Linked DNA regions of Pelodiscus sinensis. The protein of the gene in region 2 binds, or shares a complex with, the protein of the main gene of each other region. Links are inferred from orthologs where the notes say so. Each region holds a gene or a part of one and is shown on either strand. Other genes may lie near its edges.

Region 1 (7,443 bases), on a different chromosome or scaffold from region 2:
ATCAGTTTTCAGTTACTTTCTTTTAAAAAGCAAAGGTTCTTGGCTTACATATAATTTACTAGTGCTTGGCTTATTTTAAATTATATATTACCACTGATATTAGGGTAGAACCCTGAACTCCCCACTGAGGATTATGCTGGGTTCTGTACAGGCAGCAAAAATAACTGTTGGCCAGGAAAGTTTAAAATCTAAAAATTAAATTAAAATATTTGCTATGCTCTTAACAATTTGGTCATTTCCTTACATGGAAAAATACCATCTTAAACCAAGTTTCTAAACTACTGCTGATATTACAGACCAATGTTTAGAACAAATTTTCCTAATACAGGTTTGACCTCCTTGGTCCACACCCTCAGGCATCTGAGTGGTCCTGAACCAGAGAGTTTGCCAGACCAGGGGAGATCAAGGCTCCCCTCCCCACTGTCAGCTCCACTTCGGCCCTTCTACTGGGTGTCAGCCCTGGCTGTTAGGCTGTTTCCCACCATGCTGGCCCCAGTGCTGTCAGTCCCAGCTAGAGTTGCATTCCCAGCCACATTGGCCCTACTGCGGCTGGCCCTGGCCAGAACTGAGCTCCTGACCCTGGCTGGCCTCTTGCTTCCAGCCGCTGGGACTCTTTGGTCCAGCAATATCTGTGGTCTGGTCGAACCAAGATTGTTGATGAGGATTTTAGAGGTTCAATCTACACTCAAACCACTTTAATATGGCAACCCTAGGAAACAGGTTTTGCTGGATTAAAGATTTTGTCAGCTCAAGGAAAGAATGCGGAAGATGGGAGCAGGGTTGTTACCTGGCACTCCCATGGGAGCAACAGGAAAAAGCCTCCAGCAGAATGCATCCCTGTACTGCTGTTTCCCCTAGCTGGGAAGGAGGGGGTACAACAGAGCTATTTCTGCCTCCACCTGCCAGGGTCCATATCATATTATGGGTGTTGCTGAATTAGAAACACCCCGAGCACAGAAATTATAGTGTATTTTGGTTATTCAGTCTTCTGCATGTTTCAACACATGCATAAAATCTTACTATGTAGCTGAACTCAATAGCCACTGTTTTCTAGACATTCCATTATGGAACCCACTTTGTAAAAGGTTACTCTCACGGTTTCATCTCACTTCCCAACATCTTTGTTTGCACAATTTCACCAAGAAAGGTATCACGGCCTACATGCATGAGCAGGTCTCGACAAATCATGTAATCTACTCACCCCCAGTGAGTAGATTACAAGCTGGCACAGCCAGCACCATGAGATCTGCGCATCCGCAGCTCGCAGAACCTCGCGGCTGGCGAGCAGGGCTCACCGCCGCTTGGCGAGCCCTGTGCATGAGTAACACTGTTGTATAGTGTTCTTCAACACTCAAGTTGGGAAAATAATCCCCAACAATCACTCAATTTTATGATTTAGGACATGTCTACACTAGGGATGTTAACTAATGTTTATTTGTGTAAATGTGTAACCACTAGATTTCTTAGTGGTTACATGTTTACACACCTGTCTCTCTCTCTGCCTGCATACCAGCCGCTGTGGGAAGCAGCAGGGGTGAGGAGGGCAGGTGGATCCCCAGGCACCAGCTCCCACCTTCCCCCCTCTCTGCCTCTGATACAGAGGCAGAAAAGGGGTGTGTGCACAAGTGTAGTTGTCAGGATTAACTTGGTTATTTGTGGAAATGGCTACATACTAACATCCATAGTCTACAGTATAACTGGTGTGGAAAAAAATGCCATCCCCTTGAGTGACAGAACTTTTTCTGGCCTTAGTAGTGTGCACAGCACTCCGTTGGTGGAAGTTCCTAAATGTCCAAATTATAATAAACGATAAAAATAATCAAATAATAAAAAAATAGGGTAATCAAGTGATAAATTAGTCATACCATCCTATTTAGATCGCGTTCCCACGTTAATCTAAGCAGACAGACAACTGGTTTCAACAGATGCCCACTGATTTCAAGTCATGCCTCAGTCATATAGCATAATTTTCAGTGCTAGGACATTAGTGCTTAATATCCAGCAAATTACCTGTTTTACTTTGACTACAATATGATGAGGGCTTTTACTTCTTTTACTTCTTGGAGACTTGCCTCTTTTAGCAGATGACTTGTTCTTTCTTTTTGCTGGTGACCTTTAAATATTCAAAAAAAAAAATCATGTTTTGGGTCCACAACCCACTCTTGCCCCAAGGAAAAAAGGAAAGGAAAAGGCTTGTGCAAAACACACCTGACAATTTAACCTTAATCTGTAACTACTACTGTCCTGTATTGTATCATAGAAGGATGAGGTGGTGGGGAAGGGTCTCCCAGTTGCAGTGTTCCCTTTAAGCTGTGAGCTTGGGCTGCAGCACAGAGGATTCAAATACCACCCAGCTGATTGGCAGAGGGCCCACAGCTACCCACAATGTAGCAGTGCACATCTGCACACGCTCCGATGCACACAAAATGTTGTTCTACACACGGAAGGAAAAACAATTGGGCCATTGCCCCGCTCTATGTATCTGGGGGCGGTGGACACCAACCGGTCTGAAGGGAAGAAGTGGGGGAGGAGGAGGAAACGCTGGGAGAAACCTTTGAGCGGGAGTGGGGAATCTCCGAGGGGGGCCGGGGAAGGGGGGGCTCTCCCCCGCGCGCCCTGAGTCTCCCACACAGCGTCCAGCGGAGCCGCAAGGACCGCACGAGACAGCGAGCGAGGCTCTCCACTCCCGCCATAGCGGGTTGAGCGCAGGCGGCTGATACCTGCTGCGGCCTTGGGCTGCTTGATGCGGCCGGGCCGGGCCCTGCTTCCGCTCGGCAGGCGGGGACTGGCTACCCCGGGCGGAGCGGGAGCGCCGGGGGCTCCGCTTCTCCCCCCCGTCTTCCTGCTCCTGTCGCCGCCGCTTCCGCCGCCGTCGCTCGGGCTCGGCCTCCTCCATGGCTACCGCCGGGACCCCACGAGCCGGGCTGCGGCCGCACGTCCCCGGCAAGCGGAAAAGCGGCGGCTGCGCAAGGCCCTTCCGCTCACAAAGAGTAAGCGAGAAGCCTAGTACTTCCGCTTCCGGGGCATCTGTGCCCGGCGCCCCGGAAGCACTCGTGCCAGGCAGGCCTGAGGGGTGTGCGCGCGGGGGGGGGGGAAGCAGGTGACGTGGGAGGCCTCGCGTGAATAACCCGGGCGTTGTGGAAACCAACGCGCTGTGTGAGGTGGCCTTGGGCGCGCGGCGCCTTCCTCAGCCGATCTGGCTGCTCTCAGCCTTGGCTGGGCTGAGGGAGTGGCCCGGCCTCGCCAGCCCTGAGTTCGCTTTTTACACTCTACGCATGCGCAGCTGGACCCGTTTTCCTCGCCACAGCCGGCACGGCGCGTGCGCGGTCCACTTTTCTCGCAGCCTGGGTCGAGCGCTGGCGGGCGGGGGCGCCTCGTGACGACGTGACACGGCGGAACGCGGCCCCGTTGTTGCCATGGTGACGGTACACGGCTTGCGGGGAGAGAGCGAGCCACGGAGCCGCCATGATCCCCCCGGCGGACTCGCTGCTCCGCTACGAGACCCCGGTGCTGGTGAGCCGCAACCCGGAGAAGCGCTCCCCGAAGGTAAAGGGGCTGCCGGGGGGCGAGCGAGCTGGGAGGGCATCGGGCGGCTGGTTGATGGGGGTGCGTGGGGAGGGGGTGGGGTGCGGGGGGAGGGGGGAGGGGGTGGGGGGGTGCATGGGGAGGGGGGAGGGGGGGGGGTGCATGGGGAGGGGGTGGGGGGGTGCATGGGGAGGGGGGAGGGGTTGGGGTGCATAGGGAGGGGGTGGGGGTGCATGGGGAAGCGGTACACGGGGACAGGATTGAGCTGGTGTTATGTGGAGGGCGGAGAAGGATGAGCGGGGGGGGCAGGGGGGGCTGGAGGTGGGGGGCGGGTTGAACTGGGGGCTCATGGGGAAAGAGGGATTATGGGGGGGGCCGGGAGAAATTTAAGTGATGGAGCATGTGAGAGACCTAAACTGGGAAATCTAGGGGTTATTCTGTTGGAGAGGGAATTGCATGAGATGAGGGCATGGGGAGCCTGTGTGGTTTCCCCACGCACCCTGGCTGAAACATGTGCCGTGCCTTTATAGCCCTGGTATGTTTCTTGTTTGCAGGCGCGTCCTTTGAAAGTGAGTCCTCAGCAGCCAGTGTCAACTGGACCTGTGCCGCCTCCTCCAAAACCCAAGACTACTCCTACAGCTGTAGATCCAACAAAACAGGCAGAAGAAATCTTAAATGCAATCCTGCCACCAAGGCAAGAAACTGCTCTTGCACCCTTTCACCATGGTCCCAGGAGAAGTCATCAGTGTGAAATTTTAAGGTTGGGGGCAGGCAGTGAGGGGCTCTGAATGTTAGGAGTCAGGGCATGTCACTATAAGGTGGAGCCACACGGTAGTCATCGATCCATCACTAGTAAAGATTCACTATATTGACTGTTGATCACTCTCCTGTTGACTCCGGTACTCTAGCAGAACAAGATGAATAAGGGGAGTCAATGGGAGACTTTTGAGTTGACTCCCCACACTGTGGACCCTATGGTAAGTAGATCTAAACGTCAATTTGAGCTATGCTGCTAATGTAACTCAAATTGAGTAGTTTAGATTGACCTGTCCCTTGTAGTGTAGACCTGCCCTCAGTGACTGTCACAAAATAGCGTTGGGGAGAGATTGGGAGATGGATTTCTAGCTAAATAAAATATTTGTTCCCGTCAGTGCATGTGGCTCATCTAATAGTTGGTGCTGACTGATTAGTGGTAGTTACATAATATGTTTTCTAATTTCCTCAATACCTATGAGGTAGTGAGTGGCCTTGATTAATTATACATCCGTTTCAAAAGTAATATAATCTAGAAATGTTTTCTGCTGTTTCAGATTACTACATGCAGTATCAGCCACAAAACAGCAGTCCCTAAGCCTTTTTAAGTCTTGTGTCTTGCCTGATGCCCATGTAGCATGCCTGGATATCTGAACACTGCCATTCTGAACAGTTAGCTATGTTTACTGTTATCTAAGTATCCTGTAGTTAAAAGTTCTTTACTTGCTATGTAAAATGCTATCAAATTCCTCTGTTGTTGAAATACCAGTTCAGTAGGGGTAATGAAGGATGTAAAGTTAGCATTTGTTTAGGGATCAGGACATTCAACAGAATCTGTGCTGACTTGATCTCTCGATTCTACTGACAATGGAAGCAGGAGAACATGCTTGCATTGCATGCTTTTGTGTACAAAATATGGGATTCCTTCAGTTTGTGGTGGAAATGAGAGCTCAAGCATATGCTGATTTAGTCTGTGCTGCTTTTGTGATGCAGAGAATGGGTGGAAGACAACCAGTTATGGATTCAGCAGGTGTCCACCACTCCCAGTACCCGAATGGATGTAGTTCATCTGCAGGAAGAGCTGGATCTCAAATTACAGCAAAGGCAGGCTCGAGAAACTGGGATTTGTCCTGTCCGCAGGGAACTCTACTCACAATGCTTTGGTCAGTGAATACATCTAGGTCCAAGATACTATAGCAAAAGGCTTGTTTGAAGGATACTATAATACTAGAAGTTTCTGAATAGCTCAGGACATGGGGAATGGGAAGTGGAGACTTCTATCTAACGTGTATGGATTCTTGTCCACCTTGGTCAGGAAGGAATAAGAGTCGTTACTAGTGTTCTCACTAAGATTTTCCAACCATGAGCAGAGTGAATTTTGGCTTGTGCACCAATACTGAGGTCATGTGCGCTGGTTTGGATGTGTGCCACTATGGCACCCAAGTTATTAACACACATGTTCCCAGCCTTCAGAGCAGAAACCCGCCCCTCCCCCCGCCATGTAGCATATCGTATTCCCAGTTGCTGGCGCAGACAGCCCTCTCCCCATGCGGCAGGTCCTGTTCCTGGCCCCAGCTGCCAGGTCCCAGCCCTCTGCCCCAGTGGCTCCCTCACCATGTCATCTCAGCCGGCCCCACCCACAGGAGCAGCCACCTGCTGCGTGAGTGCTGCTGTGAAGCTCTCCAGAGGAGGGGGATGAGGGAAGAATTTTGTGTGCATGGCCACACAGGCGCACACCTTAGCAGGAACTATGGTCATTACCATCCCATGTCTGTCTGTCTGACCTATTGATTTCAGTTCATTTCTTGGTGCAGAGATCCACATCAGAATTAACATAAGAAGGCTACTTTATGAAGTCTCAGTAAAGAACCCTCAGTCAGAATGGACACACATTTTCCTCTTTTGGTTTTAATGAGTCCCCTACAGTGCAGGGCTGAGACAGACTGGCAGAAGGAAGTGCATGTGGGAAAGCTTTCATTGTTACTAAAAATATTGTATTAGCCCTCTTGCATCTCTCACCACCATATATAGATGAAGCATGGTTGCCACATGCGTATTTCCTCTTAATTTTAGCTTGTCTACAGAACAGTATATTTTTAAAAATGTCTATATACAAGCTGATGCCGAGAAGGTGTCACTGTGGCAACAGGGCATTGAATAGTAAGCTGGGGTTGCATATTTGCATGGGAGGGAAAAATTCATTCAACCACACTTAGTTCATGCTCTAATAATTAGATTGTCATGTTAAATAAATTAAATATCTTGGTTACACCTTGTTACTCTTCTTGCTGTCACAGACCAACCATGGAGACTGGAGGAAGAAACCAGCCACTGGGTCAGAGAGATATATTAATATAATTAATTTTTTATTCATTAGCCATAGGAAACTTCAGGTCTACACTACCTTGTCTTGAACACCACAAATGTCATGGCCATAATTACGTTGCCAAGCACACTGACCCATGTCAAAATGTTTGTCTTGAAACCCGTGTAAACGTTCTCTCTCTCTGTTTACTGTTACACTTTTTTTATTTAAAGATGAACTCATCCGTGAGGTTACAATTAACTGTGCAGAGCGGGGACTATTGCTGCTTCGAGTCAGAGATGAAATCCGAATGACCATCGCTGCTTATCAGACACTGTATGAAAGTAGTGTTGCCTTTGGTATGAGGAAGGCATTACAGGCTGAACAGGGCAAATCTGACATGGAAAAGAGAGTAAGTGAGGCTGTAAACTCATAGTGTACCTATGATCTGGCTCAAAAATGTGCTTCTCATCTTCCTCATCCTGGCTCATTGGGATTTTCTCACATTTATTAGAGCACTCTGACAATTTCTTTTGCAAACAAAATCAACAAACAAAACCTTCACTATTTTCTGATTTGATCAATAAACTGCTTCAAAATATTGTTTACCTTTTTAAAAAAGTTTTCTAGTTCCACTGGGTGGCAGTAAAGATCAAAACACATCTTGCTGATTTCCTGAGGCTGCTTTAATGGACAAATTGTCGATTATCATTTTTTTCTTCAAAGATAGTAAAATTTATATCTTATATTTTAATTGTATTTAAAAACATAACAATGACTACCAGGCATACCTATGTTCTTTATAAGATTCTAGAATTAGAAGATGAAAAGCGAGAGTTGGAAAGACAAGTCAATGAGCA
Region 2 (7,555 bases):
GGCTTTACTGATTTCTTTCGTATCCAGAAAGTTTACAACACTGAATATCAAAAAATGAATCCTATACCAACACATAATTGCCTTCAGTGGCATTGGCAAGTAAACCAACAGTGTCAGAACCTGCTGGAAGAAAGCGTACAACCTCTCTTACCATGTAACCTTTTTCTAAATCAATGAAAAATGGTTTGGAAGGTATGTCAACAAAATGATCATAAATAATTAAGGGAATAATTATTTAAAATTATATCATATGTAATAAAAGTATTTAATTTTTTTTGAAGATTGTTTTTTATTTATAGTCTATTACAGTAGACTTCCAATAATCCGGCACCTTTGGGACCCAGGAGGTGCAGGATTATCGGATATGCCAGGGTATCAGGAGGTACTCCAGCAGGGGGCTGTGACGGGTCTGCTGGGACCCGCACTGTGACCAGCAGGAGAGGCGAGGGGGGGGGGGGGCTCAGCTGGGAACGGCACGACGAGGGGCAAACCCTCCGCCGTTTTGCAAGGAGGCGGAGGAAGCCCCACGCAGCCGCCGGTGACAGGCCAGCTGAGGTTGCAAGCGGTGGCAGCAGCAGACTTGGGGAAGCGGCGGAGCAGAGCAACTGGGGTGCTGCCAGGTTGGCGGCGTTGCGGGACCAACCCGGCAGAACCCCAGCTGCTCTGCTCCGCCGCTTCCCCAAGTCTGCCACCGCTGTTTGCCACCTGCTTGCAAGAGGCGGAAGCAGCGGGGCAGAGCAGCTGGGGTGCTGCCGGGTTGGTCCCGCAGTGCCGCCCCTCATCTAGCCCCTCTCCTCCGTCACTGCTTGCAGCCCCAGCTGGCCCGTAGCAGGTGGCTGCATGGGGCTTCCCCTGCCTCCCTGCAAAATGGTGGACATCTTTATACTGCCTTCATACTTACGATAGCCACACTTCTTGCATCCTGCCCTTATGTTATCCTTATTTCCACCTGAAAACAAACAAACTTCTGTTTATGTTCTAATTAGTAACACACAAAATTGTTTCTTTTTATCCTTTATATTTGATTTAACATGGTGTCAAAGTGCATATGCATATTGCAGTGGCTTCAGGTGGTAGCTGAGTTAGTCTGTTACAGAAAAAACCAGCAAGCAAATGGTCTGCTAGCACTTTATAGACAAACAAAACATGTAGATGGTATGAGCTTTCGTGGGCACAGCCCACTCCTTCAGTCTATTAAAAAAATCTGTAACTAGCTAGTCTATTGTCTGGCTAGGCCAGAAGGATAAGATACAATGGATGTGATTTAAATGTCTCGGAGTACCCAGCAAATTAAAGTTTATGGTGCATATAATTCTCTAATCATTTGCATATATGTGGGGACAGCGCTGCCCCTTCCTCATTCTGGTTCTTAGCAATCCCACTGCTGGGACATCTCATCCTCTTCCAAAAAGAGGGGGCTAACTCCCAGTCATACCAGTCTCTAACCACCCATCTCCATTCCTTTAAATACCTTCTTTAAATTGTGTTTAAATTTATTTTATTGGATCACTTTATCAATTCCCTATTGGAGTACCTGTACTGAACATCTGTGACAGAGGCTCCAGCAATTAGCTTGACTGTCTTCCCTCACACCTAGCCCAGTTCCCAGAAATCTATTGATGCCTTCAATATCAGCCAAAAACATATCAACTTCTAAATCTGCAGGTGAACCCTATATTGTCCAATATAGTATGGCAGGATGAGAAATCATCAACTCCCTTATGCCATCTATGATTTTGGCCCCCTCTCTGTTCTCATACTTCCTACTCTTGTCAACCCATGGAGGCTTCACAGCTTCCTGCCAAACCCTGTGTCACAACATGTCCAACCAATTAATTTTTACTCCTGGGAAAGTTCTAGGATCTGCCCCAAGTCCCTCTTAGATCTGAACAATGAGCCTACCCCTTTACAGGTTCCCCAAATCATTTCCCCCAAGGTGAATAACAATCATATCTAGTGCTTGTTCACAGGCCATCTTACTATCAGGAGCATCACCTGTTCCCACAACCAGTGTTCCCTCTAAGATGCACAGGCAGCACAACTTCACAGGTGATGATTAATCAGTCAGCTCCATGCACAGAGCCCTGAGCCTGGCTCGGTGGGGCTGATTAATCACCTGTGAAACTGTGCTGCCTGCACAGCTTAGAGGGAACACTGCCCAAAACATGTCCCTCTCTCACTTTTTAACTTATTTTGGTAAGAAAAAGCATTGAGCCATAATGCAAAGGGAAACAGAATACAACTGTGTTACAACATCCCTAAAGTCACTTTTCTACCATGTATCCTATCACCATAATCCTGATATTCTATGTTAAAACAATTAGTGCCAAGTACTTTTTGTACTTGGCCACAGGTTGGTTTCAGGCATCCCAAAAGGGGCAGGGCTTCAGGTGGAAGGGTTCGTGGCTAGAGAAAGAGAGACTGTGACACAGACTGAGAGTGTGTGACAGTGACAGAGTGTGTGTGTTGGCTGCTGCTGAGTAAGTTCCTGAGAGAAGCTTTACTTTGTCTTTTTAAAGCAGGGGAAACTGCCCTGCTCTGTTGTTGTCCATCCACCCCCTGCAGAGATTGGGTATGACCCATTTACAATTGCTAGTAGCAAGTAGGAATATTAAAAAGCAGGTAATTGGGTAACTCTGTAACTGCAGAAAAGTTTCAGTGGTCTGATTGCTGCATTTGTGGTCAGAAAGCAGCTCTCCTCCATACCAGACAGCATGGGACAGAGATCACTTGTTGAGTTATATTAATGTACTGATGAATTCTTTCAGAAGGGCAGCCATGTTAGTCTGTGTTTGCAAAAACAATGAGTCCTATGGCACCTTAGAGATGGGGGCTACATCTACCCTGCAGACTCTTTGCACAAGAACAGCTGTTCTTGCACAAAAACTTGTGAAATGTCTACACTGCACGTGTGTTCTTGCACAAGTAAATTTACAGTAAAACATCAGAAAAGAGAACTTCTTGTGCAAGAGTTATTCCTCTCCCTACAAGGAATAATCCCTATTACGCAAGAGCTCTTGTACAAGAAGGCAGTGTGGTCAGGCAACAGGGGTTTCTTGCACAATAAACCCCTATGGCTAAAATGGCCATCAGAGCTTTCTCGTGCAAAAGAGCATCCACACTGCCATGGATGCTCTTGTGCAAAAGCACAAGGCAGTGTGGGCGCACTCTCGTGCAAGAACTCTTGCACAAAATAGTTCTTACACAAGAAGTCTGCAGTGTAGAAATAGCCTAACAGATTTATTAGGACATAAGCGTCCACAGGTAAAATCCTCATCATCAAATAAATTGGAGTGGTATTTACCAAGGCAGGGGGATATACACAAGGGCTGTGTCTACACTGGCATGAATTTCCAGAAATGCTTAAAACGGAATACTATTCCGTTTTCAGTTTTTCCGGAAAAGGAGCATCTACATTGGCAGGCTGCTTTTCCGGAAAAGCCCTTTTTCCGGAAAAGCGTCTGTGGCCAATGTAGACGCGCTTTTCCGGAAAAGAGCTCCGATCGCCATTTTTGCAATCCGGGCTTTTTTCCGGAAAAGACTACTGGGCTGTCTACACTGGCCCTTTTCCGGAACAGTGTTCCAGAATAAGGACTTATGCCCGAGCGGGAGCAGAATAGTTTTTCCGGAATAGCGGCTGATTTTGTACAGTAGAGCATCGTTGCTTTTCCGGAAATTCAAGGGCCAGTGTAGACAGCTCGCAGCTTATTCCAGAAAAGCAGCTGATTTTCCGGAATAAGTGGCCCAGTGTAGACACAGCCAAGGACAACTTAAGAAAGAGGATACTTGGGTAAATGAGGCTAATCAAGTGTTATGTGACATCTTTACATTATGATTCAAGGACTTCAATAACGTACAGGCGTGGGTGGATTCTGTAGCCTGCAAAGGTCATGCCAGAGGACTTGATCATGATGAACCCTTCTGGCCTTAGCTATCAGTATATAACTATCCCCCCCCCCCCACCCGACCCTCCGCGAAACCTGGGTTTCTTCCTTCACTCGGCTCGTGGCCACTTCCTTTCTAGGCTGATACCGGCCCCCACTTGCTGCCCGGCTCTTTTCAAAGCTTCACTGCGTTGTCTCCCCCTGGACCTTTGCCCCGAGCTCGTCTCACCTACGGGCACCCTCCCAGGACGGGTCCGGCCCCCCAAGAGCCACCGGAGGTTTCGGCGAGCGGAGACGATGGGACGCCCTCACCACCCAGGCTCCCGTCCCGGCCTCCCGCGCCAGCGTCTCAAGGGTCTCCTCGGCCGCCCGCTGCCCCCACGCCGGGCCAGAGCCCTCACCTGGCAGCGCCATGAAGCCACGAGCCCCGCACGCTCTCCCCGGGCAGAGCCGGACGCAGGCCCGACACCCGAGCGTCCCGGCCGGAGGGCTTTGGGCAGCGCACACCGGGCCGTACCATTAGGCGGGGAGGGGAGGCGGGATCACACCACGGTGTCAGTGCGGGGGATGGAGGAGGCGGGTCGCTGGGGGAACTCAGGCCTAGGGCGCACGACGGAGGCGTTTCCCAGAGCGGGTGCTGCGGCTCCGCGTTTGGCCTCTCGCTCCTGCTGCCTCCCCCCGCGCCGCGGCGCCAAATCCCGGGGTCCAAGATGGCGGGAGGTTCGCAGAGCTAGTCGGGGTTTCAGCAGCGCCAGACCAGGAGCGAAATCGGAGTCGCCGGGTCCGTGCCCGCCCCGCCACCAGCATGAGCAACATCTACATCCAGGAGCCTCCGACCAACGGCAAGGTGCGGGGGGGGGGGAGCAGAAGCCGCCGCCAGGCCCCTGGGGAAGGCGAAGGGAGCGGGAGCCCGACGGGCAGCGCCGAGAAGGGCCCGCGGGACTGTTCAGTATCAGTTAATTGAATAGTCAAGAAACCGCATCAATTCCTATTGTTACTGGCTATTTGATAGTCCCCCGGGGTGGGGCCGGCAGCCAGCGCACTCCAGCCCCGCTCCCAAGGAGCCGTTACCTCGGCTACAGAGGCGGCCGCAGCACAGGGTGCCAGGTGGGAGCTGGTCCATGAGGGAATCCGGGTTAAAAACCAGCTGCCCTCGGAGACCAGCTGCCTGCCCTGGGCTGCTGCCTCTGGTCTAGGTGGGGTCAGAGTTCCCAGACCTGGTGCAAAGCAGAACTGAGCTTGGCTGCTTGCTTGCCTGCCTGCCTAGCTCTTAATACACTTTAAATGCAGAGCTGCAGCGGGGGTAGGTCATGGACTTGGTGTGAGCTAGGATTCTGGCCAGCCTGCTAAAAAATTTACTGGCAGGGGAGGAGGGAAATGCGTGTAATATATAGCATTAACCAGTAAGCTTTTACTTACCAGTTAATTGGTTAATTGGCTACACTATTGCATCCCTAGAGCTGCTGCACCTCCTGGCTTGAAGCAGCCATAACCAACAAGTACATGGTTTCCATCATCGCCACCCACACTATAAAGTGGTTCCATCTAGGAATGTAAAATACCATTCAGTCAGCTAGCTAGATAAATATTATGTTTAACCAGTCAACCGCATAAATGGGGGCGGGTGTGGGGGGAGCAGCTCCAGACCAGATGTATTGGAGCCACCTCCTGCCCCATTCACCATGGACACATTGGAGCAGTTAGGCTGGGCTGGCTGCGGGTGTAGGTTGCTCCAGCTGGACTGGAGCGCCCTTGCCCACAGCACGCTGCTCTGTTAACCATTCACATCCGTAGTTCCAGCACTCCTACAACTATGTTACAGTTGTTGGCAGGTGCAAGTTAGCTTAGCGTATTGCCTGTGTGAGCATATAGTCCTGTGCTTGCATTCTTGATTGCTTGCCTTGGCACTGAACATATGCATGCAGAGTAGTTGGGTCAATGCAAAGTGTGGTGACTTGCATGTAGGTATTCCAGCCTGCAAACCAGCGCTGAATAGTGAAAGGGTGAGCAATAAGACAGTGGCAATTCACCACAGTTAGCCCAGGGCAAGCCGCCAGCCCTTTATTTACCTGCATGTCCACAGGTACGGCCATTTGCAGCTCCCATTGGCCCCCGATCAGTGTTCCTGACCAATGGGTGCTGCGAGAAGTGGTGTCGCAGTCCACGCTACTTCCTGCAGCTCCTGTTGGCCAGGATCAGCAATTTGTGGCCAATGAGTGCTGCAAACATCTGTACCTGCAGCTGCACAGGTAAATAAAGCATCAGTGGCCTGCCGTGGTGAACAGCGTCTGGCCTGTGAGCCACTCATTGCCCACCCTGGTCTAGCACAATACCTTTAGGGAAGTTTTCTCCTATGGTGGGATAGAAATGATGCACACCGTGATTTATGGGAGATAAGAGTAAAGTTCCCAGTATGCAATTTAGAATAATTTGGAACTCTTGGTAATATGGAAGACATAGTACATGGATTTGTAGCAATGGGATTCCAAGGCTGTGATATACATTAGACAAATCCCCATTTTGATACCAGCTTACCTTGCTATAGAGTACAGCAACAGAAAGGACTACTTTTTTGTGATTATGCAAGCAGATCACTAGGGGAACTTTACTGACATCAGTGTGGGGTGGGTCAAGGGGAATGCATGATGCTTATGTCCAGGGCTCGACAAATAATACAATCTACTGGTTGGTGACCACTGCCCTAAACACTTCATATATGAAGTGTGGGGGTTGCTTCTGAGCATATACTTACCACAGGATCCAGAGGCTTTGAAGCCTGGAGACCTTGGCATGCCCTGGTGCCAAAGGTACATGGGAAGGAGAAGATCTCTCAACTGAATTTTAATCTCTCTAAACAACTAAGGACTGTAACTACTATTAACTCACTGACGTTAACAACTGTAAAGGACTACGAAAGAGTAAATAGGCTGCTTCACTTGCAAACAAGAGAATAGGGGAGTTTCATCTCTCACTGATGGTAAGAAGGAATTGAGGAGGCTTTTTGTTTTCTTTACTACTAGAAGACTTATCTGGCATTGCCCAGGTGCTTCATTGCAGAGGGCTCATGGAGTGTGGGGGTCCAGGAGTCAGGGTAGGGCCTTGGGGATGTGGGGAGCTCAGGGCATGAGGCTGGAGGCATGGGAGTGTGTGAGAGTGAGCATTGGGTGGATGAGGCAGGCTCAGGACAGGGGGGCTCAGGACAGAGTGGCTGCTGGTTTCTCCTCGTGGATAGCCCAGGGCACCGGGTACTACAAACTCCCTCTGCTGGCTTGTCCCCAGGGCAAGCAGGGGCTCGCTCCTTCCCTCCTGGCCCAGCCAGGAGTGGAGGGTGTCTTCCTCCCCCTAGATCCTTCTGGGATGGCAGGGGCTCTTTTCTTCCCCTATGACCCTGCCCAGGTCATGGGGGGACTCTCTCTCTCCCGTCCTGGTTCCACCCAGGGCAGGGGGCTCTCTTCTTCCCCTCCTGGCCCTTCCCGGGATTTGGGGGGCTATCTCCCTTTCCCCTGATCCCTCCTGAAGCAGGGGGTGCAGCAGGGTCTCTCTTTCTCTCCCCCTTACCGCATCTGTGGTGAGGGAGTGAGGGTGGCAGGGGCTGTCTCCCTGGCAGGAGGGCCTTGCTTACCTTTTCTGGTGGCAGGCAAAATGTCAGAGCCTCAGCCCTGCTGGCCACT
Region 3 (7,687 bases), on a different chromosome or scaffold from region 2:
GACGTCCCCTGCCCGCGTGTGCTGCTGCAGGACGTTCTCCACTTCCCGGGGCCCGAGGCCCCTCACGTCGGCCCCATTCACCTTGGCCACGAGGTCGCCCTCCTCCAGCAGGGGGCAGCGCCCCCGGTCCCAGATCCTGGCCACCTGGGCCCCAGGCCCCCCCTCCTCGGGCGCCTCCACCGTGAACCAGGGCCCCGTGGCGCTGCGGGGCAGGGGCACTGGCGTCAGCCGGCCGGGCGGTGGGGCAGGGCGGGGCCTCTGCTCCGCCCGCTCCTCCTCCTCCCCTAGGCAGAGCTCTGCACAGCAGCGCACCCCCAGGCCCCGGGGGCGGCGGGCGAGGGGGGGGCTGGGCGAGGCAGGAAGCCGGCAGGAGCAGCGGCAGGGGGCGTCCCGGTGGGTGTAGTGCAGGATGCAGCTCCCGTCCACCACCACCACCACGTTCACTGCGGGGCACAGAGGGCAGAGTTAAGGGGGCCCCCCCAGTGCCCGGGGCAGGGGCGGCAGGGCCGAGCGTGGCGCCCCCAGCACCTCCCGGGCACCCAGGGCAGGTGGCAGAGCCCTCCGGTTGGCAGGGGGTGGGGAGGGGGGTGCCCCCAGTGCCCCCCGCTTACCTCCAGCCGCCGGTGCCACTGCTGCCGGGATCAGGGGTTCAGGGGCCCTGTGGGGGCTCTGGTGGGCACTGCAGCTGGGGGACGGAGAATAGGCGGGGTGCATATTTGGGGGGAGGTCCCTTTCTCGGGCAGCTTTCTCCCCCCTAGGATCCCCCATGTTCCCCCCTTCCCCTGGGATCTCTCCCCTATATCCCCCTCCCCCCTAGGCTCTCCTCCTAGGATACTTCCCCTCCCCCCCATAGTCTCCCCCTTTCCCCCAGAGCCCCCACCTCCTGGATCCCCCCAATTGCTCCCCGGTACCTCCCCAACCAAAGGCAGCCCCTTAGCCCCAGCTCATCCCTGAGCATCCCACCTCCTCAGCCCCCCAGAAGTGCCAGTCCCTCCAATCCAAGGGGGGGGGAGTCACCTGATGCCACAGGCTTCGCTTTGCTCCGCCCCCCAGTGCTGGAGTTGGGGCCCAGCCCCGCCCATGGTGCAGCCGGGGGCCTCGCCCCTGGGACCCCAAGTGGGGGGTTCTGCTTGCTGAGGAGTGGATCCCGAGACCCCTGAGTGCGGCCTGCCTCAGCCCTGTGAGGGGAGAGAACAGGAGAGTTCAAACCTCCCCCGATGCAGCCATGTCTGGGGTGGGGCAGGAAGGTAACAGCCACATGGAACCGGCCTGCAGCATGGCACTGCCCAGCGCCCTGCCCGGCCCTGCTCTGCCCCCCAAGCATGGGACCCCAGTGCCCAGGCCTGACTGCCCACCAAAGCCCCCTGCCCGGCCCCTCCGCCCCACGTGCGCCTCTTCTCTCCTGCCTGCCTAGAGTCACGAGGGTGGCGGAGAGGCACTTGGGGCCCGGAGGGCGGCCGTGCCCCACAACACCGGCCTGGGGGGAATCACTCCTCCCTCTGCCCGGGCTCCCACCCCCTCTCTTGGATCAGCCCAGCTGTGGGCCCGAGGGCTGGCTCCCTTGGCTCCAGAACTCGCTGGGCTCTAGAAGGGATCTCGCCCGCCCACCCACTCTGGAACCTACAGGAGAGCTCGCTCCGGGGGCGCAGGCAGTGACTGAGATCTGGCGCTGCCCAGGTCTCTCTAGAACCCCTTGGGGAGCCAGGGCTGGTCTCCATCGCGCTGGGGGTCTAGGACATGGCTCTGGGCCCCAGCGCCCCTGGTGACTGGCCATCCTCCCCACACTGGCCCCGGGAGCGCTGGATGAACTCCATCAGCCAACTGGGGGGCTGATTAGGAGGCTCGGCTGTGATGGACCCGGGGCAGGGGGCAGGTTCTGCGAAAGCAGGAAGTGGGGGTAGCCCCCTTGCCCGAGGGGAGGGAGAAGGAGCCTGGCAGGAACGGGTCCGGGGAGGGAGCAGTAAGGTGGGGAGATGTGGGGGACAGACCCACCGTGGCAGGGGGTACTGCTATGGGCAGGGCAACAGGCAGAAGAGAGGCTGACAGATGCACAAACTCCCCCGCCGCAGAAGGGGAACCCCTGGGGCAACCAGGCGGGGGGCCAACTGAGTCATGAAGGGACGGCTGCAGCTTCTGGAGCGAGAGGAAGGGCCAGGGGCCAGGAAAACGGTCTCAGAGGGAATCTGGAAGGAACTCTATTGTTCAAGAACCCAGGTGGGATCCAGAAAAACCTCTGCTGCTCTAGAACCCACCAGGGATCTCAGCAAATTCCTTTGATCTAGGCCCCACTGGAGACCTGGGATGCTCTCGGCCATTCTAGAGCCCATGGAGGGTTTGGAAAGGCCTCTGCCACTCAAGAACCTGCAAGGGGGGGGGCTCTAGAAAAGCCATTGGTATTCCAGAAGCCACTAGGGATCTGGGAAAAGCCCTGTTCTAGGAGCCGCTGGGTATCTAGAAAAGCCTCCCTCCCTCAAGAACCCAACGGGCACCTGGGTGATCTAGAACCCATTGTGCTGGGGGGTAATCTAGAAATGTCACCGCCTTGGACTCTTCCAGGTAGGGGTGGGGTGATGTGGGGGGGGTGCCTCCCAGGCTCTGCGAGGCCGGTGACGTTACCCAGTTGCTGCTGGGGGGAGGAGGGGAACTGGGGTGCACCTGCCCTCTGTTTCTAGTCCGCAAGCAACATGGCATATTTTGAGGAACACGTGAGGCCGGGAAAAGGTCGGTTCCCCCCCTCTCCCATGGGTGTGTGGCGAGCAGGCCAGCAAAAGGGGCCGGGAGGGAGAGGACCGTGGCCGTCATCGCTTGGCTCCATTGCCGCGTGCCTCAGTTTCCCTCTGGGCTTCACCCGGGGAAGAGGTGTCCGTCCGCTCCCCGGCCGCCGCAGGAGGCATGGGGTAGGGGTGTCATCTCACTGCCTGGATGGGGGAAGGGAGAACCAGGTTTGTTGGACCCAAAGCGACCGAGGGGCCGAGCAAGATGAGAGCCTCCCCCTCCCCCCCGCAACCATCCGCCCTCCCCCCGCCCCCCGCAGGAAAGCCTGGCTGGCACAGCTGGGAAATGGGGCTTTTGGGGGACTCTGGCACCCAGGGAATGGTGAGATCGGGAGGGGCCAGGCCCGGCCCGCCCTGTGCCTGTGTCGCTCCTCAAGGTCACATGAGCGGGGAGGGGGAGTAGCTGGTGGGGGGAGGGGGCTTTACTTCCCACACGCCAGAGCCCTCCCAGGAGGAGCTGAACGTGCCGCTGCCCCTTCCAGCCTGTCCCAAGGCCACCCCCAGAGCTGTCGGGTTCCTCCCCCAGCCCCTTGTCCATCACAAAATCAACCTCTAGGCTCCCCACCCGCCCCTCGCCAGCGCTGATCTCCCCTCCTAGGCCCTCAGGACGCCCCCCCTCCCCACGCCATCCCCCGGCTCCGGCAGCCAGCACAATCCAATTAACAGCTGATCCCGCCCCGTCTCTGCTGGCTGGGGGGGGCTCCCTTACCTTGGGGTGGCCCCGGCATCTAGCGCTGCTCCGGCCCCCCCCTTCCGTAGTGGTACCCGATGCTGCTGGGGTTAGCAACGGGGATCTCCAAGGCAACGGGATTGATGCCCCGGTAACCCTCCACCTCCTCCTCCTTCGCTAGACTCTGGGGGAGGGGGAGAAGGGGAAGATGGACAGACGAGCCAGCCAATCGGAGACCACAGTGGCTAATCTCCCCCTGGGATATGGAACACGGGGCCTGACCCCTCCAGGGGGTGCCGGTTCCAATCCAGCCCCGGGGCGGCTAGTAATGAATAAGCAGAGTCATTTCTCGATACAGCCTTCGTTAAGGAGAGTGCATGGGCATGGGGGAGGCGTTCATTCGCCAGCCCCTAAAGCGAGGCCTGGTAGAAACCCGGCTCTTCCCCAGGCCACACAAGGTACAGGGCTAAGGAGCAGGGTGGGCTGGGAACCAGGACTCCTGGGTTCTCTCCCTAGCTCGGGGGAGGGGGTTAGAGGCCTTAACCAAAGCACATCTGTTCAGCATCAAGCTTGAAAGTCACTGGAGCTGGCATGGGGTCACAGGGTGCCAGGAGTCACTAATCTCCCACCCCCAAGAGGAGGGGGCTGATTCAGGACCCCCCCAAATATCAACAGGAGACCGGCCAGACGGGGTCAGAGCAAAGGTCCCTCCAGCCCAGTGTCCTGTCGGCCGACAGCGGCCAGCGCCAGGGGCCCCAGAGGGAGGGCTCACAACTGGGAACCGTCCCGTGATCCCTCCCCTGCAGCCCCTGTTCCCAGCCTTGGAGAAACAGGCCAGGGGCACCCTCCCGCCCGGCCTGGCCTGCAGCCATCCATGGACCCACCCTGCCCGGATGTCTCCAGCTCTTTGTGACCCCTCCTGCGGCAGGGAGTTCCCCAGGTTGGCTGTGCGCTGCGTTTAGAGATGCTCGCTGCACGGAGCGACCCCCCCCGTCCGAACGTCACGGCAGCTGCTGGGCCTGGGGGGCTGCTCCCCTGCGGCAGCAACCAGACGATTTGGGGGTTTTAAGGACGCAGAAAATTCCCCGGTGGGGGGATCTCGGGGTGGGGGCAGAGGGTGGGGGAGGGGAGTGGGGGGGGCAGCCCCGCCCCGCACTACATCCCCCATGATGCTACGCGTGGGGGCGGGTCTATAACCCCCATGAGGCCCGGCGGGCCAGCTTGGAACTACAGCTCCCGCGAGGCCTTGCGCGCGGCGGTGACTACAACTCCCGTGAAGCCTTGCGCGGCGCGCGGCGGCAAGATGGCGTCGGACGGCGGCCCCCCGGCCCCGCGGCCGGTCTCGTTCGGATTCACGCGCACGGTCGCGCGCAGGCGGCTCGCGGGGGAGGGCGGGGCCGACCCGGAGCCCGATTTCATCAGCGCCGTGGAGGGGAGCGAGCTGCGCAGGTGAGAGCAGTGCGCATGCGCGGGAGTCAGCGCCCCCCGGGGGGGCGGGGCTGCTCGGCCTGCGCACGTGAGCAAGATCGACCAGGTGCCTGGGGGAGGGGCCATGTGGGCTGGAGAGGGCGTGTCTGGGGGAGGGACTATAGGGCTGGAGGGGGCGTGTCCGGGGGAGGGACTATAGGGCTGGAGGGGGCGTGTCCGGGGGAGGGACTATAGGGCTGGAGGGGGCGTGTCCGGGGGAGGGGCTATATGGGCTGGAGGGGGCGTGTCCGGGGGAGGGGCTACATGGGTTGGAGGGGGCGTGTCCGGGGAGGGGCTATATGGGCTGGAGGGGGCGTGTCCGGGGGAGGGGCTACATGGGTTGGAGGGGGCGTGTCCGGGGAGGGGCTATATGGGCTGGAGGGGGCGTGTCCTGGGGAGGGGCCATGGGTGATTGGTGTGAGGCAGGGTCTGTATCCAGTGGGTGAGAAGGAAGAGGCTCAGGGTAGTGGGTGGGGCCTCTGTGGGGCAGGCCCTTGGGATGGGGCAGTGGGCGGAGCCAGGGTAGCGGAGGGGGGGGGAATGGGAGTGGTGCACTCTGGGTATCCCACGGCAACGGGATGGTTTCTCTCTGGCTCTCAGCCTCCGGCCAGTCCCGCCCTCCAAGCCGCTCGTCATCCCCCTGATCCAGCGCAACCAATGGAAGAAGCCGGCGACGCCCCCCGTGGGGGCCCCAGACCCGCCGGCCGATGATGGGGTGGAGTCCCAGGCCGTGAGGGAGCTGATCGAGGGTGAGCGAGGCAGGGACCCCAGGAGTCCCCCCCCCGCACACACTAGTTCCCGCCCCCTGAGCGGGGACCCCGGCGTCCGGCTCCTGACGGTGCCTGTGCTTTGCAGAGAGCCGGCAGTCCCAGGAGCGGTGGGAGAGTGGCTCCAAGGCCGACCCCAAGCTGGCCATCCCCCTGCTCATGCAGAACCGCGTCCCCGAGGGGTACGAGGATGGGGACCGGGTGGACGTGAGCCTGCGGCCGGAATCGGTAAGAGCCCTCCGACGAGCCCACGGCTTCCCCTGGAGCCCCAGCGCCAGCCCCCTCTTGCGGCTCCGAGCTACGTGTCCCAATGCCTGTGGCGGGTGGTTCCGCAGGTTAACGACTCTCCTGCCCTTCTTGCCCTGCAGTCGACGGAGGCGGATTATGAGGTGGTGCCGGTGGAGGCCTATGGCGTTGCCATGCTGCGGGGCATGGGCTGGAAAGCGGGCGAGGGCATCGGACGCACCTTCAAGCAGTGAGTGACCTGGGGGGCAGAGGGATGGGGGGCGGGGCAGGGAGATTTTGGAAAGGCTGTGGACCAGGTTACTGTAGGGGCTGGTAGGTTGGAGGAGGGTGATGGGGGAAGGAGTCCTAGCTCAGCAGCTGGGGGGGTGATATGCTTTCAGAGGCGGGTCCCCAAATAACCCTTCCCCCCTTTAGGGACGTGAAGCCGCTGGAGTGCCAGCTGCGCCCCAAGGGGCTGGGGCTGGGAGCTGACCGCTCGGCCATCCAGGACCTGCAGCCGGCTGGCCGCCCTCAGCCCCCCAAGCCGGGCGAGGAGGAGCCGCTGGGGCTGGTGGCAGGGGGCGCTGTGCTGATCATGGCTGGGCCCCACAGAGACCTCTATGGGAAGGTGAGTGCCCCCCCATTCCTTGGCCCCCGAGCCAGCCTGTCCCTGCCCTGGGGCCGGGTGGGAGCCGATGCCCCCTGGAAGCAGAAGGCTCACCCCTCGTTCTCTTTTCTCTCCCTGTCCCCAGATCGAGGGCGTAGACCCCGATAACGCCCGGGTGATGGTGAAACTGGCCATCGGGGATAAAACGGTCACCATCAGTCAGCACGTCCTGCGGCCCGTGACCCAGAAGGAGTACGAGAAGCTAGCCAAGGATCTGAGTGAGTCACATGACTGCTCCCAGCCACACCCCCCCCGCCGCCCGCCTCCCCCGTCCCCTCCTCACTCCCCTTTTCTCTCCAATCCCCTTCACAGGCCGCTTAAGCCAAGCCCAGAAGGAAAAAGAGGAAAAGCAGAGAAATGAGCCTACTGAGGCTCTGGCCACCACGGTCCCCCAGGACACAGGGGAAAAGAAGGACAGAAAACGGAAACAGGCAGCCTCGGAGAGGTAGAGACCTGGGACGGTGGGGAACAGCCACGGATAATGCTGCCTGGGCACGGCTTGCTTGGTGCCGAGATGCAGCCACCTCTGGGGCAGGGCAGGTGGGGAACAGCCACATAGAACACTGCCTGGGCACGGCTTGCTTGGTGCCGAGATGCAGCCGCCTCTGGGGCAGGGCAGGTGGGGAACAGCCACATAGAACACTGCCTGGGCACGGCTTGCTTGGTGCCGAGATGCAGCCGCCTCTGGGGCAGGGCAGGTGGGGAACAGCCACGTAGAACACTGCCTGGGCACGGCTTGCTTGGTGCCGAGATGCAGCCGCCTCTGGGGCAGGGCAGGTGGGGAACAGCCACATGGAATGCGGCCACCTCTGAGGTGGGTGCTGTCTCACGGCCCAGAGGAGGATTCCCCAAGCTGGCGTGTGGCCCGGACACCCTGGTGCCAGTGCAACTCAAGTGCCTTTGATGAAACACTGTGCCCCTTCGCCAAGCACGGTGCCCCCAGCCCCCCCCCCCCCCCCCCGCTTCTCGCAGCACGGTGCCCCCCCCAGCACTGCTCCTGACTGCCTGTTCTCCTCAGCGCCCCCCAGGCTGGGAAGCAGAGCAAAGGCAGCAGCTTATCGTCCTCCCGCACCCCCCACTGGCTGCGGCGAGACCTGCGGGTTCGCTTCGTGGACAA
Region 4 (7,881 bases), on a different chromosome or scaffold from region 2:
CCCTGTGTTACTACCTCTGATACAGAGGCAGCAGCACAGGGTGGTAGATGAGAGATGGCACACATGGGGAGCCATCAGCCATCCCACATGTAACCACTGAAATTTTTAGGACTTTATGTGGTTACTAAGGGTGTGTCTAGACTACAGGGTTTTGTTGACAAAAGCGGACTTTTGTCAACAAAACTATACCTGCGTCTACACTGCCGCTGAGTTCTGTCGACATAATGTCGACAGAACTCACCAGTTTTGTCGACGGCTGTAAACCTCATTCTACGAGGAATAACGCCTTTTGTCGACAGAGTTCTGCATCTACACTGTCCTTTGCGTCTACACTGTCATGTTGACAAAGCGGCTTGCTTGTCAACAGAACTGGATGTAGTCTAGACGATCTTTGTCGACAGAAGCTTTGTCGACAGTATCTGTCGACAAAACTTCTGTCGACAAAAGTCTGTAGTCTAGATGTACCCTTAATTACACACATTTTAACATTCCTAACCAATACCGCATTGTTAACCTACTGTTTATCAGTTTGGTATTCCTAGTCCATTTAGCTGCTAAATATGTAGCAGTACAACAGAAAATAAAAAGTATCTAATATCTCAGAACGACCAAATAAAATAATGACCAGGATTATTAGCCTGATGGTGGGTGAAAATAAAATGTTGAGGATGAGTGGCCTAAAGCAAATGGGTGGAAAAATGAATATAGTGCACCCTGAATTTGGATAACAGGACCACCTAATCCACATTTCATTATTTCGTATTGTGATATAGTAGAAATACACACTGCTAGGGATGCGAAAGGTTAACCGGTGGGGGTTGGAGCAGCTCCCTGCCCACTGGGGGTAGGGGACTGCTCTGGCTGTGGTGACCTGCTTGTGGCAGAGGACTGAGGGAATGCCCCCACCCCCTTTAATCCATTAATTAGATACATGTAACATTTAATCAGTTAACCAATTAAATGGAATTTTACATCTCTACAAACTGCACTACAGAAGAGCAAAATAATTATAGTCCAATAGACTGAATTATCATAGGAAAGAATCTGAAGTGAAGGACAGAAATGGGGAAGCTGCTCATCTATTGGCATTGTTCTTTGCATAATAAAAGCTTAAAGTCTTCCTCAATTAAGTTAGTCTTTGAATGCAACACCTGTAGTATTTCTTGCTCCATCTTTCCATGTGTCAGGTGTAATCACAGTGCCAAGTTTCTTCTCACCTGTAACAGAACACACAGCAGGGGAAGAAAACTAGACTTAGTTTTCATTAAAGCCTCTAAGCAAATGGTTCTTATTAATACAAATGTTATTAAATATATATTTCTGGAATCAGTGCTTAGCAGCTCCACATGAGAAGCCAGGCTCTGCTTAGACCCTATAGATCCCCTGTGAAAGATGCTAGTTCATTGATAGAGGCAATGATACAGATGAGACAAGAGCAGGGGCAGCCAGGAAGCTGTGATGTGAATATTGACAGCTACCCCACACAAACCCAGGCAGTTTACCAATAGCTATGCCCATCTCAGTTATGACCGCCCAGCTGTGGGTGAGAGGGAGGAGAATGAGTGAGTGCACATGCACACACACGTGTGTGTGTGTGTGTGTGTGTAGATGAGACCCAGCCCGAACAGGGAGATACATCATGCCCCCATCCTGGCAGAGCTCCCTCTAAGCTAAACAGCTGCCTAAAAATCCTTTCACAAGGGTTCAGGGCTACTGTGCATGGAGTTGCCAGAGACTGGGGGAAGAGATGCAGGGGCAGCAGGCGGGAGCCTATACTTGATGGGAGCCAGCTTAAAAGCTGCCCTGTGTGTAACTGTGTAATTTTCAGCAGTTAGGCAGTTACACACACTTTAACATGCCTTCAGATCATCCCTGTGCAAAATGAATGTTATGTGCATCAATACGGAGGAGATGTGCTGCACATGAGCTCCATATTGGTGCACTCAGGAGAGATGTCAGACAGTGTTTAACTGACAAAAAGGCTAATGGCATATTAGGTTGCATTAAGAGGAACATTGCCAGCAGATCCAGAGATGTCATCATTCCCCTTTATTCGGCTTTGGTGAGGCTGCATCTGGAGTACTGTGTCCAGTTCTGGGCCCCCCCCCACTACAAAAAGGATGTGGATGCATTGGAGAGGGTCCAGTGGATGGCAACCAAAATGATTAGGGGGCTGGAGCATATGACTTATGAGGAGAGGCTGAGGGACTTGGGTCTGTTTAGTCTGCAGAAGCGAAGAGTGAGGGGGGATTTGATAGCAGCCTTCAACTTCCTAAAGGGAGGTTCCAAAGAAGATGGAGGGAGGCTGTTCTCAGTAGTGACAGATGGCAGAACAAGGGGCAATGGTCTCAAGTTGGGGTGGGAGAGGTCCAGGTTGGATATTAGGAAAAACTGTTTCACTAGGAGGGTGGTGAAGCACTGGAATGGGTTACCTAAGGAAGTAGTGGAGTCTCCATCCCTAGAGGTGTTTAAGTCTCGGCTTGACAGAGCCCTGGCCGGGTTGATTTAGTTGGGATTGATCCTGCCTAGAGCAAGGGCCGGACTTGACCTTCTGAGGTCTCTTCCAGCTCTATGGCTCTATGAATAATCATGGAACTTCAACCTCCCCCCTTGCGCAGATGGTAGGGGGCGGGGAAAGAGGATCCCCTGCCCCGCTGGGCACCCAGCTGCGGCGGGGGGAGGGGGGATGGTCTCGCGGCTCAGGCGGTGGGCGAGGACTCCAGGCACGCATCGGCTTGGCGGAGCCCAGGCGCGGGGCGCTGCCCGAAGTGGCGGGGAGGGACCGGCGCCCGCGAGGACTCACACTTCTCGCAGACCATGCTGAGCTGGAACCGCCGCCGGGCAGCCGCAGACCACCAACAGCTCGACAGACCAAAACAAACTGCCACTTCCGGACAGTCCCTTCCTCTTCCGGCCTCCGCGCTCGCCCGCCTCCCTATGGAGCCAACCTATGGGGCTGCTCAATGTACGTCCCCCGCAGCCTGACTGGTCGCCACCATCCGTCACTCTCATGCCTTGTGTCTTCTCCTTTGAGCAAGGCGCGCAGCGCCGCCTGCTACGCAGGGAGTTGAGCGCCGGGGCCCGAGAGCCGCGCGACCTCTGACCTCGTGTTCGGCGTAGTCCCGCCCACTGTCTGCTGACAGGGACTCGGGTAAGAGACAAACGGTCTGTGCTCTTCCTTCCCAGCAGGCTGCTGCCCGCCCCCCGCTGACTGTCTTCCTCCCCCCGCTTTCTGCTGCTCCCCCTCCCCTCCCGTGACGCGGCCCCACCTCGGGCTCCCCAGCATCCCATCCTGGGCAGCGCCCGCTGCCTTTCCTTGCTGTGGTGCGTTTTCCAGCCGAGCAGTCAAGCCTCTGCCCCTGCCAGTACTTGCTGGGCTTCTTCTCCTGTGGCATCGATGTCACAGGTCACAAGGGGGACGTGGGGCAGCATTCACCTCGCCACTCCCATCAGTGCCACTCTGGGTACCCAATGATCCTCCCAGCGAACCATTTGGTGATGCAGCCTGGTTCGGGCCATCGGAGGGTATGTCTACACTGCAGCGTTTTTCCAGAAAAAATGGCCATTTTTCTGGAAAAACAATACTTACGTCCACACTGCTTTTACTTTCTTTCGACAGAAAGCTGAAAGAACAGAGGGGCTTTTCTGACAGTGGTAAACCTCTTTCTATGAGGCAGAAGCTTTTTTCCAAAAAAGCTTTTCCAGAAAAATGCATGTGTAGACGTAGAAGAGGGAGTTCTTTTGAAAGAAAAGGCTTCCAGGAAATAACACAGGTGCCCTGGTGGCCACTCCGTCCATATTAATCACAACTTAAATGCAAGATAGCATCCAATTAATGTGGGTGCTATGTTTTGAAAAAGCACATTACTTTTTCATTGTGCTTTTGCTGTGTGGATGCACTCTTTCAAAATAAGCTTTTCCAGAAGATCTCTTCTGGAAAAACTTCCAAAAGAAGCTTGCAGTCTAGACATAGACTGAGGCATGTTGCACAAAGGTCAAACCTTTTTCCTCCTCTGCAAATTGCCTGATGGCACAAAGCCTGTGGTATAGGCTGTGTCTGCCTGAGAATGTAAACATCAGCAAAGCCAGTGAATCAGATGTTTTAGCAGAAAACATCACAATTCACTGCCAATCACAAAATGCAGTACAATATCTGAAAAAAAAAAAATTGGAATGAAACATCATGGTTGCTCCTAGGTTTTCTGTTTTAAAGTAGCACACAATTTATCTTTTTCAACGTTTTTTTTTTTTTTTTTAAGTTTACCCTCCCTCTTAAATTTTTCAGAAATTAACTACAGGAATGTCATTTGCTTTATTGTAGGTGCACTATTCAAGATAAAACACCATGAAAGATACAGAAATAAAGAGACTGCTGTTTGCCCACATCATTTGTGTATTTTCCATTATCTTAACAACTATTGTTCCACCTCTCTTTTTGGAGAACTTCTCAGTTTTGGGAACACACCTTATCTGGCTGTGCATCTGTTCTATATGTGTAACTACTGTAAATATAATATTGTATATAATACTTAAACCAAATCCGTCTTCTAAGAGAATTTCACTTGCTCACAAGGTAAGAATTTGTATAATTAACTTAATGCTAATAGCTTTGAGGAAGGGTTGACTATCTTTTTCCTGAAGAAGTCAACTAGGAAAGTAAAAGGACAAAGTACAGTCAAATGCATGGTTGTCAAATCTTCACCTTTGTAAATGAGTGGAGTAAGTGTGTATTACCTTTTGAAATGAGTTTTCCAGTATTTTTATCAGTGTTAAAACTTTCTTTTCCATTGAAGTTTTTCAGAGGGGAGCATTACTGGACCACATTCTTCTCCCAGAGCCAGGGAAAGGATCTAACAGTCCTGATGCTGCCAATTCCACTCCAACTGGTCTCTTTCTACCTTTGACATTTCCAGCAAACCCAGGAGTGCTGGTTGTATTATATCTTTAGTGTCTTTTCAAGAGCTGGTGGCTTATAGCCTAAAACCATCATCCTCCAATTCAGTGATGAGCAAACTATGCTAGTGAGCAGACAGTATGAGTGGCTCTCTTTCATTTACATGGGCTGCAAAATTGTCGTAATCAAGACTGTCATTCCTGGGATAGGGTAGCTTTGCTAGCTGTTCTTGTGTGCATAAAACTTTTGGGTTACGCTAATTGAACCATAGCAGTATTTTGGCTGTGGAGGGAGTGCATGATTCTCATAGTCAGTGTTGTGTTCAGTCAGCAGTCAGCGCACACATCATTTCACATACCCTTTGCTTTACTTCTCATTTAGTAATACCAATAGGAAAAGCTATGCAGATGGAAACCAGAGTGTGGCAACACTGCACCTGGGTAACAGTAAACAAAATGTCTTGTGGGTCACACATAGAACCTTAATGGATGTATGCAGGTCATGGGATGCCCACCATTACTCTGATAAGCTCCACGCTCGCAGAAATCAGTGAGACTCTGAATGCAGAAGTCTACGTGCACACATGTCACTGCAAGATCATGCCTAAGCCAGCATTATGTTCAAAAGTTTGGTCTCCTCTGCAGTTAACACATGTTAATACATAGAAGTAATTCAAGGAAAAACTGTAAACCCATGGAAATTTAAATGCAGGTAAAGCACAATAAAATTAATTGAGAAAGGTTAGTTAAGATTTTTTTGAACAACAAAGCCATCCCCCCATAGACACTTCAGTTTTATAGAAGACACTATAATATTACATTTTGCTGATGGAGTATTGGGAACATGAAACTCATAAAATGAATACTACCATAGGAGTTTAGACCAATACTCAGAGAGTTCAGAATGGGGAAACACAAAGGCAGGTTGTCACCAACTTTCTTCTGCACCTGATTTGCTGAGTTGAGGGGATAGACCACTATTACTAAGAACTAATGATCAAATAGCTTGACAAGCCAAATATATTGAGTAGTTTTTCACATATAGTGTGTGGTTTGACATTGATTTATTTGATAAGGGGGAAAAATAAAATCCCCTTTATAAAGTTTGTGACGTGGGGGAAAAAATACCTAAAAAAACTCAGATGATGCTTGAAACTTAACTAATGTTTGAAGTTTTCTTTGTGACTTGTTTTAGATAGAAACACTCAACTTTGGTTGGTGCTTCTTTAATTAAAACTGCTCATAAAATTTCTATAATACAAAAGAAAAACAGGTAACAATTGAGTACCATCTACATTTATAGAATATTGTGTATTTAAAAATGTATATAACAGGATTCTAGAAAGTTAGATACATGAGCAGCATTGTCATCTTGAAATCTAGTCAGTTTTAAAATGTAGTTGATGGAGTCAAATATAGCTTTATATACTATGATGTCCGAGTGCTAGTTTTTGTTGTATTACTATCACATTTCCCTGTTAAAAAATATTTTTAATTCCCCATTGTACTTTGTCAAATACATTCCAAAAAAAGCATTATGCAACATCAGGCATTTTCAAAGGTGAACAGGAACAAACTGAGGAACATTTTTCTCTTATCCTCAGTTAGAGGTATCATAGTTGTTACTTGTAATATTACCACAGTAAGTAAAACATATTTTCATACTGAAGTAGAATTTTATTTTTTAAATTGATATAGCTTTAAAATACTAAACACAGAAAAGCTTGCATAATAATCAGTTTCAACCATAGTCCAATGTAATAACTTCAGAAAAAGGCGAATGTAGTGCCCATCTTTTAAAAATGGAAGGAGGAGAATCTGGGGCTAGCCACAATTCAGTACCTGGAATAATCAGGGAGGAGATCCTCAAGGAATCCATTTTGAAGCACTTGGAACAGAGGAAAGTGACTAGGAACAATAAACATGGATTCAGCAAAGGCAAGTCATGCCTAGCTAAATTGATTGCTCTCTATGATGAGGTAACTGGCTCTGTGGATATGAGGAAGGTGGTAGACATGATAAACCTTGACTTTAGCAAAGCTTTTAATATGGTCTCCCACAGTATTTTTGCCAGCAAGTTAAAGATTTATGGATTGGATAAGTGTAAGGTGAATAGAAAGCCGGCTAGATCGTTGGACTCAATGTTTAGTGATCAACAGCTCAGTGGGCCGTTGGTATCAAGTGATGTGCTCCAAGGGTCAGTTCTGAGGCTGGCTTTGTTCAACATGTTCATTAATGACCTAGATTAGGGAATGGATTGCACCCTCAGCAAGTTCCCAGATGACACTAAGGCTATGTCTAGACTGCAAGCCTCTTTCGAAAGAGGCTCTTTCGAAAGATACTTTCGAAAGAGCCTCTTTCGAAAGAGAGCGTCTAGACTGCATGCGGAACTTTCGAAAAAGCAAGCCGCTTTTTCGAAAGAAAGCATCCAATGAGTCTGGATGCTCTCTTTCTAAAAAGCCTGTTTGCTTTCAAGAACGCCTTCTTTCGAAAGAGCACTTTCGAAAGAAGGCGTTCTTCCTCGTGGAATTAGGTTTACCACTGTCGAAAGAAAAGCCGCATTCTTTCAATTTAATTTCGAAAGAACGCGGCTGCAGTCTAGACGCAGGTGAAGTTTTTTCGAAAAAAGGCTACTTTTTTCGAAAAACCCCCTGAGTCTGGACACAGCCTAAGATAGGGGGTGAGGTAGATATGCTGGAGGGTAGGGATAAGGTCCAGCATGACTTAGACAAATTGGAGGATTGGGCCAAAAGAAGTCTGATGAGGTTCAACAAGGACAAGAGCAGAGTCCTGCACTTGGACAGAAGAATCCCAAGCACTGCTACAGGCTGGGCTTGGTTGGCTAAGCAGCAGTTTGGCAGAAAAAGACCTGGGGATTACAGTGGATGAGAAGTTGGATATAAGTCAACAGTGTGCCCTTGTAGCCAAGAAGGCTACTGGCACATTAGGTTCCATTAATAGGAGCATTTCCAGCAGAACTAGGGAAGT

Evidence for each region.
Region 1: CWC27 (region 2) and SNIP1 share a complex: the UniProt entries of both Homo sapiens proteins name them as parts of the minor spliceosome. The link is inferred for Pelodiscus sinensis from reciprocal best matches to the Homo sapiens genes CWC27 and SNIP1.
Region 3: CWC27 (region 2) and GPKOW share a complex: the UniProt entries of both Homo sapiens proteins name them as parts of the minor spliceosome. The link is inferred for Pelodiscus sinensis from reciprocal best matches to the Homo sapiens genes CWC27 and GPKOW.
Region 4: CWC27 (region 2) and CRIPT share a complex: the UniProt entries of both Homo sapiens proteins name them as parts of the minor spliceosome. The link is inferred for Pelodiscus sinensis from reciprocal best matches to the Homo sapiens genes CWC27 and CRIPT.

The regions. Positions count from the first base shown.
Region 1 is NC_134735.1:9,846,402-9,853,844, forward strand, and holds the start of SNIP1 (smad nuclear-interacting protein 1), read right to left. Parts: upstream 3,014-7,443; 5' UTR 2,897-3,013; coding exon 2,721-2,896; intron 2,114-2,720; coding exon 2,011-2,113; intron 1-2,010. Other genes in the region: DNALI1 (axonemal dynein light intermediate polypeptide 1), read left to right, coding at 3,466-3,546, 4,080-4,219, 5,272-5,441, 6,817-6,995, 7,391-7,443. UniProt on the Homo sapiens protein: Required for pre-mRNA splicing as component of the spliceosome. As a component of the minor spliceosome, involved in the splicing of U12-type introns in pre-mRNAs. Down-regulates NF-kappa-B signaling by competing with RELA for CREBBP/EP300 binding.
Region 2 is NC_134716.1:91,048,102-91,055,656, reverse strand, and holds the start of CWC27 (spliceosome-associated protein CWC27 homolog), read left to right. Parts: upstream 1-4,549; 5' UTR 4,550-4,689; coding exon 4,690-4,731; intron 4,732-7,555. Other genes in the region: uncharacterized protein LOC102460411, read right to left, coding at 902-949, 4,286-4,298. UniProt on the Homo sapiens protein: As part of the spliceosome, plays a role in pre-mRNA splicing. Probable inactive PPIase with no peptidyl-prolyl cis-trans isomerase activity. As a component of the minor spliceosome, involved in the splicing of U12-type introns in pre-mRNAs.
Region 3 is NW_027465877.1:101,214-108,900, forward strand, and holds the start of GPKOW (G-patch domain and KOW motifs-containing protein), read left to right. Parts: upstream 1-4,674; 5' UTR 4,675-4,747; coding exon 4,748-4,893; intron 4,894-5,511; coding exon 5,512-5,660; intron 5,661-5,766; coding exon 5,767-5,906; intron 5,907-6,046; coding exon 6,047-6,153; intron 6,154-6,338; coding exon 6,339-6,531; intron 6,532-6,655; coding exon 6,656-6,788; intron 6,789-6,882; coding exon 6,883-7,015; intron 7,016-7,588; coding exon 7,589-7,687. Other genes in the region: membrane-associated guanylate kinase, WW and PDZ domain-containing protein 1-like, read right to left, coding at 1-443, 612-685, 1,018-1,082. UniProt on the Homo sapiens protein: RNA-binding protein involved in pre-mRNA splicing. As a component of the minor spliceosome, involved in the splicing of U12-type introns in pre-mRNAs.
Region 4 is NC_134713.1:164,111,304-164,119,184, forward strand, and holds the start of CRIPT (cysteine-rich PDZ-binding protein), read right to left. Parts: upstream 3,014-7,881; 5' UTR 2,820-3,013; coding exon 2,804-2,819; intron 1,218-2,803; coding exon 1,152-1,217; intron 1-1,151. Other genes in the region: PIGF (GPI ethanolamine phosphate transferase, stabilizing subunit), read left to right, coding at 4,346-4,573. UniProt on the Homo sapiens protein: As a component of the minor spliceosome, involved in the splicing of U12-type introns in pre-mRNAs. Involved in the cytoskeletal anchoring of DLG4 in excitatory synapses.